Linked DNA regions of Tamandua tetradactyla. The protein of the gene in region 2 purifies or fractionates together with the protein of the main gene of each other region. This does not show direct contact. Links are inferred from orthologs where the notes say so. Each region holds a gene or a part of one and is shown on either strand. Other genes may lie near its edges.

Region 1 (3,906 bases), on a different chromosome or scaffold from region 2:
ACCGCAGCAAGGAGAAACCAAGCAGCCCAAGTCTCCGGGCAAGCCTACACTGAAGCATTGCTCGTCCATCAAGTGCTCACAAGCCGCTCTGCGCCTGAGTAATGGCCAATCAACAAAGCTGCGTTCAGGCAGTCCCTGCATCTTGGGCTGGCTTTCAGTTTCTATATCCGATTCATGGGCCTTTCTCAAATTCAGCCCATTGGATGCTCCACCCTTTCTGTCCTGGTGTTCTTTCGAAACTCCCTCCCCTTGGGCACCCAGCCACCTGCCCCTCCCCAACTACATTCCACTACACTGGAGAAGGATATAGTCATTCAGGGCTTGAAATAAAGTTTTATAAAAATCTAATGCCCCAGACAGAGCTGCAGGGATGCGTAAGTTTTCAAGCACAGAAGTTAACACAAAAGAACTAGGAAGACAAGCAGCAGTTGGCTGCAGCTGGGTGAGAGTTCTGCTGGCCTCACAGAGGTGCTTCCATCTGTCCTCAATCAGCATTCGAATGGTCAATAATGCCCTTTAACCTCTGACCTGGGAAAAGTTCAGTTACTTCAAGGAAATTTCAAATTCTGCTGCTTTTCAGTTGGTAAACTGTGCTGGGTCGCGCCTCTTTACAAATGTTAACATTAAATGAGATCCAGCAATTAATCCAAATTTTGGTAAACTTCAATCTAAAGAGAAGAGGACCCACTGAGAAAGCTACCTGAACTCTGTTTCAACTCTCTTGAAACTTGTTTCCATCATTAACTTTTTAGTTAATTCACTTATTTCCCGATCACCCCTCACATGCACGTTTGTCCCTTGTTGTACTCTCCAAATATATGACTTCAACATTTGTTAACACTTATTTACAATCAGTTCACGGGACCGTCAATTCTGAAGGCAAAATCACCTAGTTTACAGTCAGCTGAACAGAAGATTGGAAGACGGTCAAACATTGTGCTGGACACTGATATATGGGGAGGGGCAAAACAGATATGGTAACCCTAAATTTTGCTCAGTGCAAGGGAGGAAGCCCCAGGGGAGAAGGTGAGGTGGGAGTAATTTGGATGGGATGGGATGAGGGAGGTATAATTTAAATTGGGACTGAAGGCTGAGAAGGAAGGAGGGAGGGGGTATACAGACAGGGTAGGAGAGTTCCCGGCCAAATGAAGCCCAAGTAGCTACAGCCCAAAGCTGAAAACAGTTGAGTGGTCTAGAAGTGAGCGGTGGCCAGTGTGGCTAGCGAGTCCTTGCCAGGTGCCAAGCACTGCTCTCTGGTCTGGAAAACAGATGCCTGCAGTTCAGTCGGGAAGATTTAAGCAGTGGTCCCCTCACCTGTACAACTGCCGCCAACCCTGCTCCTCCCTTGAAGGACTGCTATAGGAATAAGCAAGAACGGCCATGACGCCCAGCAGACCCCCAGGGGTCTGCTGGGCCCAGAGGCTCGTGAAACGTTCCCAAGTTCAATGCCCGCGATAAGCGTTAAGGGAGGCCAAGGAGGAAATGCCAACTCTCCACGGCAAGAAGCGGGTGGCTCGGGGTTCTACAACTCTTTCAGCTTAGGCGCGTTGGTCTGCCTGCGGAACGAGGCTCAGACGCAAAACCAGCCCCCTCCAAGGACTCAGTGGACATCCTCACATATATCTCCTTGGCGTCATAACCAGCCTGTTAACACACGCAGGGCATAGGGGCCTAATCTAAAAGCGAAGGGAGCGAGCCCCGTACGCCTGGAGAAAGGCCCGCCACGCCCAACTGCCGCTCCCCAGCCGCCGGAGAAACCGCAGACCGGCTGGACGCGCAGACTTCCCCCTCTTTCAGTCTAGGTCAGCGTTTCTCCAACCTCGCCGCACACGAGAACTGACTCGGCAGAGCTGGCTGCGCGGCGCCGGAGGAGCTCCATGTTCTGGAGGAGACCAGACGAGGCCGTCCCTTCCGGCTCTTGCGGGTGGAGCCGACAACCGCCGGCGGCAGGCGCGCGGCTCCACTGACAGCAGGTGCGCGGCCGACCGAGAGGGCCGCCCCCGAGGCAGGCGAGGGCCGGGAACCTGGGGTGAGCAGGCGGGAGGTAAAAGCGTCCCGCCGACCCCCGCGACCCCGGAGGTCTTGGCTGGGGGCCTCGGCCGGCGCTCCCGCCGCGGAGCACTTCCCGGGCGGGCCTCACCCTGGTATCCCTGCCCCCCGGTCAGGCGCCCCCTCCCAGGCCCGGCCCGTCGCTTACACGTGTCCGCAGGGCACCTGCACCGGCTTCTCGAACACCTCCAGGCACACGGGACAGGTGAAGCGGCCCAGAGGGTCGGCCTCCGCCGCCGCCGCGGGCCCCGCCAGCTGCGCACGGCCCTCACGGTCCTGCTGCTGCGCCGCCATCTTGCTGCAGCTGAGCGCCCGCAACGGCGGCTGAGAGGGAGGAGCCCGAGGGGGCGGGGTCGAAGCCGCGGCCGAGCCAGCGCGCGGGGAGCGGAGCGCAAAGCCCGCTAGCGCGGGGGGCGGGGCCGGCGCGGGGCGGGGCCGCGGCCGAGCGAGCTCTCGCCGAGCGGAGCTCAAAGCCCGCCGGGGCGCGGGACCGCGGCCGAGTCAGAGAGCGGGGAGCGGAGCGCAAAGCCCGCTAGCGCGGGGGGCGGGACCGGCGCGGGGGCGGGGCCGCGGCCGAGTCAGAGCCCGGGGAGCGGAGCGCACAGCCCGCTAGCGCGGGGGCGGGGCCGGCGGCGGGCCCCGCCCCACGGCCCCTCCGAGTGGTGGGAGGGAGAAGTCGAGGGCAATCTGGAAAATGTGGACACCAGATCCATAGGCTGCCAGAACTGGGATGGGCTTTGTGCTTCAGTCACTGTTTTCCAAATTTATATTGTTCTGTGCCATCTTTTTTTTTTTTCTCCGTGTAACTTTTTATTTTAAAAAATTTCAAGCCTTCAGAAAAGTTACAAAAATGTACAACGAACAGCCATATACCCTTCACCTAGACTCACCAGTTGCTAATATTTGGCTACATTTATGCCTTCTCTCTCTCTCTCTCTCTCTCTCTCTCTCTCTCTCTCTCTCTCTCTCTAGCTCTCTCTCTTCACACACTTTTTTTGCTGAAGCTTTGAATCTTTTGGGACTTATTTACAGACATAATAACCCTTCACCCCAAATACTTCAGCATGTATTTCCTAAGAACAAAGACATTCTCCTTCATAAACACAGTACAATTGTCATACTCATGAAATTTCACACTTGACATAATTCTATTATCTAATATATAGTCTACGTTAAAATTTCCCCACTTCTCAGTAATGCCCATTATAACTGAGTCCCCCAACCCCATTCCAGGATCTTAGGGAGCAATTGATATTAGGTTGTCTTTTTAGACTCCTTCTATCTAAAAGAATGTCTTAGCTTTTTTTTATTACATTACACATAACTTTATTATAGTGGTAGAACTACATTTCATTTTTTTTACATAATTTTTTTGAAACATAACATACAAACACATTCTTACCATATGATCATTCCATTCTTGGTATATAATCAATAACTCACAATATCATCACATAGTTATATATTCATCACCATGATCATTTCTTAGAACATTTGCATCAATTCAGAAAAAGAAATAAAAAGAAAAAAACTCATACATTCCATACCCCTCCCTCTCATTGACTGCTAGTATTTCGATCTACCCAATTTAGCCTTTGTTTTCCCTATTTTTTTCTATACCCCTGACCAGTCCCTTTCATTGATTGCTAGCATTTCAATCTACTAAATTTATTTTTCCCCCTATTATTTATTTTTAATCCATGTTTTACTCATCTGTCCATACCATAGATAAAAGGAGCATCAGACACAAGGTTTTCACAATCACTCAGTCACATTGTAAGGTGTATAGTTATAGAATCATCTTCAAGAATCAAGGCTACTGGGACACAGCTCAACAGCTTCAGGTACTTCCCTCTA
Region 2 (3,906 bases):
GCCTCTTTTAGCAGCCCCTTGAGAGCCTTCCGGGCAAGGTAGAGCCCATTGGGAGGGGCCGGGGGAGGGCCCTGTGGGGAAAGCTGGAGAACATATATGTCAGAGGTCTCGCCATCTATGAGGATGGACACACGGTGCTCTTCCCGAAGCCGGGCCAGCCGCGCCGGGGTCTCCTTGCTCAGGAAGTCCCACACAGGCTTGGAGACGGTCACTTTGTTTTTGCAGGTGCCTCCACAGGCTGCCATTCTGGACAGGACGAACGACACTGCCCCAAAGGTGAAGGGGACTCAGGGCGGGGAAATCCCTTTTGACAAATATCACTGTCTCCCTTCAGGTTCCTTCCAAACCCTGTATTACCTCTATTCTCTCAAAAATCCACCCCTCCCCCCAAATTCATTTTCTGTCCTCCCAGAGCTTCCAAACCCCAGCACCCCCTAAAGAGCTCAAAAGCTCCTATAACTTTTATTATCCACTAAGCCCAGCAATCAGTCTTGGTTCTCCTTACACTTCTCCCAGACCACAGAAACAATCTGCTCCCTCCCCACTCTGGGTGAATAATGGGCTCTTTAAAGGGGAGGGAAGCTTTTTGACCCTCCTTTTCGCTCACTTTGATCCTGAAGAGCTTAGAATTGGCATGCAGGCTCTCTCTCGCTTTTCCTCTCCCTACTTGTGGGTTGTAGGACCTAATGGGGTGAAAAGAAAAAGGAGGAAAATTAGGAAACCCCCAGTCACCACATATCCCAACCCGGCAGCCGTGTAACAAAGAGATGGGGGCCTGGAGTGGATTACTGGCAATGGGATTACCTTGGACATGGAATGGAGGGAACCGAGTTAAGGGTGAAAGTTGAAGTTTCCTGTAGGGGTAGGTAGGGGGTAGCGGAGGTACCTGGAAAGCCCATGGACAATGATGACAGCAGAAATCCCTCTGTTTCCACCACACTCAGCTGACCAGGACTAGGAGAAGTTAAAGTGTTATGATGACAATCGTTACCATTTTTTTCCCCAGCCAGTCCAGAAATAAAATAAAAACTCCTGTTCCATTTCCTCTCCCTCACTCCTGTAGACTCTCATCCCCAGGCTCTCCCCAAGTTGTTCAAGAAGGAACTTCAACATGCTAACCTTCCCACCCCCCACCTCTCCAGCTCTGAGACCCTCAAGAAAGCCTGGGGCACAGATGAAAAGTCAGGAAGGGAAAAGCCTACATAGGTGGAGGTCTTTCTTGCCACCTCCCTCAGATTACATGGATGGGAATATTTTCTATGCTCCTCCAACTCTATGCCCTACTCCACGTTCCCAAATAATTCAGCCCCTACTGCTAGGGAGCCTTCGTTGTGCGCTAACCTCAGTCCCTTCTCTTCCAGTCTGTTAGGAATGCAAACAAAGTGGCAGCGGCCCCTGCAATAACAAAGTTCTCACTGTCACCTTTTAAAACCAGCACAGCCTGTTAGCGCCCTCATCTGCATTCAGGGAGGGGTTGGGCTCACACAGGGTGCTCAGCTGAAGGGCCCTGATGTTTCCCCCAAGTCTTGTCACGTTCAGGTATAGAGCTATACCCACAACACCTCCAAGTACAGCTCATATGGAAAGAGGGGCCATTAGTGTGACCTCAATTCCTTGACTGATTCAAAGGGGAGCAGCTGTTGGTTTGTGTCTCCATCATAGTCCTCTCAAGACTGGAGTCACCTCAAGATTCACCAAGTGAAGCTGGAACCCTAGGGCCTCCGCCCCCAGTGTCTTTCCCGGGTGGAATCTCCTCTCACCCTACTCCCCCAACCCCCAGTCAGAGGAGACCTAGGACCTAGGTGTCCTAGCTGCAAGTCCTGCTGGCATAGAAAAGGGAGGAGGTGCCACGGTTTGTGCTGGGTCTGTGATTCCTCTGGGGCAACCCAGGCCGGACGCCGGCTAAGCCCTCCTTCCAGATGATGGCCTGGATTAGGGGAGGCCGGGAAGGGCAAGGGCCCCTGGGGACAGCCACTGAGGCAGCTCCACCCCTCCCCCCACAGCCTTCACCGAGACCCGACCCGGAACCAACCCCCTACATCCCCTTTTCGCCGGACCCTACGGAGCCCTGCCGCTGGGTTGGGGGTGCATGTCCGCGGATCGCGGTTCCCGGAACCCCCAAATGGAAGCCAATGCTGGAGGATGATGTTAAGATGATCGGCCGGGCATGAGTGGGCCCCTAGAGCCATGCAAGGGGGAAGAGGGCCGAGGAGCGGACGCAGAGGGAGCGGGGGCCGCGCGCGGGGCGCGAGCGGGATCCGGGGGTCGCGCGGTGGGTGTGGGGGCCGCCGGGCTCACCTACCTCTCGTCAGCGCCGCCATTGCCGGTCACATGACTGAGGCTGTTGCTGGGATGACGGTCCGGGCCTTAGCAACAAGGGGGGGAGACCCCGAGAGGGGGAGACTTGCAGAGGGTGCAGACTGAGGGGAAGGGAAGGAGGACAGCACCCCCTTACCCCTCACAGGTGATAATCACCGTTTCCTTTGACCCCTTCGGCCCCCGATCCTCTGCCCCTCCTCCCCCAAACAAAAATGGAGGCGCCGTCCCAGTCTTTCTTTGGAGGGAGGGGGGTGGCGTCGAGTAACTGAGGGTAGGAGGTTAAATCCCTTAGAGACGTCGCCGCCACCCTTGTCGCTTCCCCTTTCAGGGAGGAGCCCTCTCCCTTCCCTTTCTCAGCCAGCTGCGTGGCAGCTTCTGGGAGCTGGTAGTGGGTAGGTGGGTGGGGAGTCCCACTTCAGGTATATGGGAATGGGGATGCGGTGGCAATTGTTCTGAAATCCTTATGCCAGAAGGGCCTTTGAGGAACAATGTGGGATGGGAAGAAGAATCATAGTAAAAAGAAAAGCATTGGTTCTAAAAAAAATAAACCCCAGTACTAAACTATTTTCAAGTTCCTGATCTTTTGCCTCTTCCTAGGTTGCTACCGTCTATGATCCCCCCCAACCTGCTCCCATCTGGGTACCGAAAAATGCCTATTTCTCTTTCCACAAATGGGGCTACTGAGGCTGGTGCAGAATGGGAAGTGAAAAAAATATATATATATTATTATTTTTTAATGGCTTGGGGTGGTGTGTCAAGCAAGTCTCTGGTTCAAATAGAGTTAAAAATTCTCAAAGGGAAAAAAAGCTCTGCTCTGCTTCCCACATCAGAGCAGTCTCCGCCTCCAGCCCAACTCACTTCGTGGGGCCACATCAAGCCAGGTTTTTCTACCAACCAAAGGCCTCTTTAGCCAAGAAGTACTGGCAACAACCTCTATTCATCCACCCACTTTCTTCACTGCCCCTCTGGCTAAAGGGCTAGGCATTTTCTCCTTCACTTTCCCAGGACCCTGCTGTATCACTCCTGCGCTCCAGACAGAGGACATCTTTCCCAGGAAGCCTACGGAACACTGGATTCAGCTTCTTTTAGTTAAAAGATGGGACTGTGAGGCCCACTCCCTTTTAGAGTTGAGAGTGTGACCAAGTCCAGAGCCCTGGGAAAGAGGGAGGGTCACATCTTCCCAGTTCTCCCAGGTCCCCACCATTAGCTGAACTCCTGCAAAGATGGAGAATAAGTTGTCCATACCTATACTATTGACACCCCCTACTGTGCCATTCACAGCCTTCTGTCTAGAAACCCACATCCTTAATTGGGAAGCTCAATACACTGAAGACTAGAACTCTTCATTTGGTCTTTGTACCCCCAAGCACATATATCCTCAGAAAAAGGAAAGGAAAAATAAAAAAGGCATTTTTGTGAAGGAATTTTAATTCAATAATTTATTTTCTATATTGTGAAAGCATTGGGAGCAAATACACAAATTTTTTTTTTAATTAAGAAAACAAAAAAGATGAAAAACAGAAGCAACAAATGAAGACCATACTGCCCATAATACATCAGCCACATGGTCAGAAAACCCATTTCTAA

The links.
Region 1: the proteins of DTX3 (region 2) and RNF114 purify together in Homo sapiens (affinity purification with mass spectrometry; 3 studies listed by BioGRID and IntAct, counting the BioPlex papers as one, with this or other methods). This does not show direct contact. The link is inferred for Tamandua tetradactyla from reciprocal best matches to the Homo sapiens genes DTX3 and RNF114.

Annotation. Positions count from the first base shown.
Region 1 is NC_135327.1:2,776,090-2,779,995, forward strand, and holds the start of RNF114 (E3 ubiquitin-protein ligase RNF114), read right to left. Parts: upstream 2,378-3,906; 5' UTR 2,344-2,377; coding exon 2,198-2,343; intron 1,741-2,197; exon of another isoform or gene 1,638-1,740; coding exon of another isoform or gene 1,618-1,637; intron 1,608-1,617; exon of another isoform or gene 1,383-1,607; coding exon of another isoform or gene 1,315-1,382; intron 1-1,314. UniProt on the Homo sapiens protein: E3 ubiquitin-protein ligase that promotes the ubiquitination of various substrates. In turn, participates in the regulation of many biological processes including cell cycle, apoptosis, osteoclastogenesis as well as innate or adaptive immunity.
Region 2 is NC_135333.1:124,890,901-124,894,806, reverse strand, and holds the start of DTX3 (putative E3 ubiquitin-protein ligase DTX3), read right to left. Parts: upstream 2,662-3,906; 5' UTR 2,303-2,661; intron 1,396-2,302; 5' UTR 1,342-1,395; intron 955-1,341; 5' UTR 887-954; intron 684-886; 5' UTR 609-683; coding exon 608-608; intron 266-607; coding exon 1-265. UniProt on the Homo sapiens protein: Regulator of Notch signaling, a signaling pathway involved in cell-cell communications that regulates a broad spectrum of cell-fate determinations.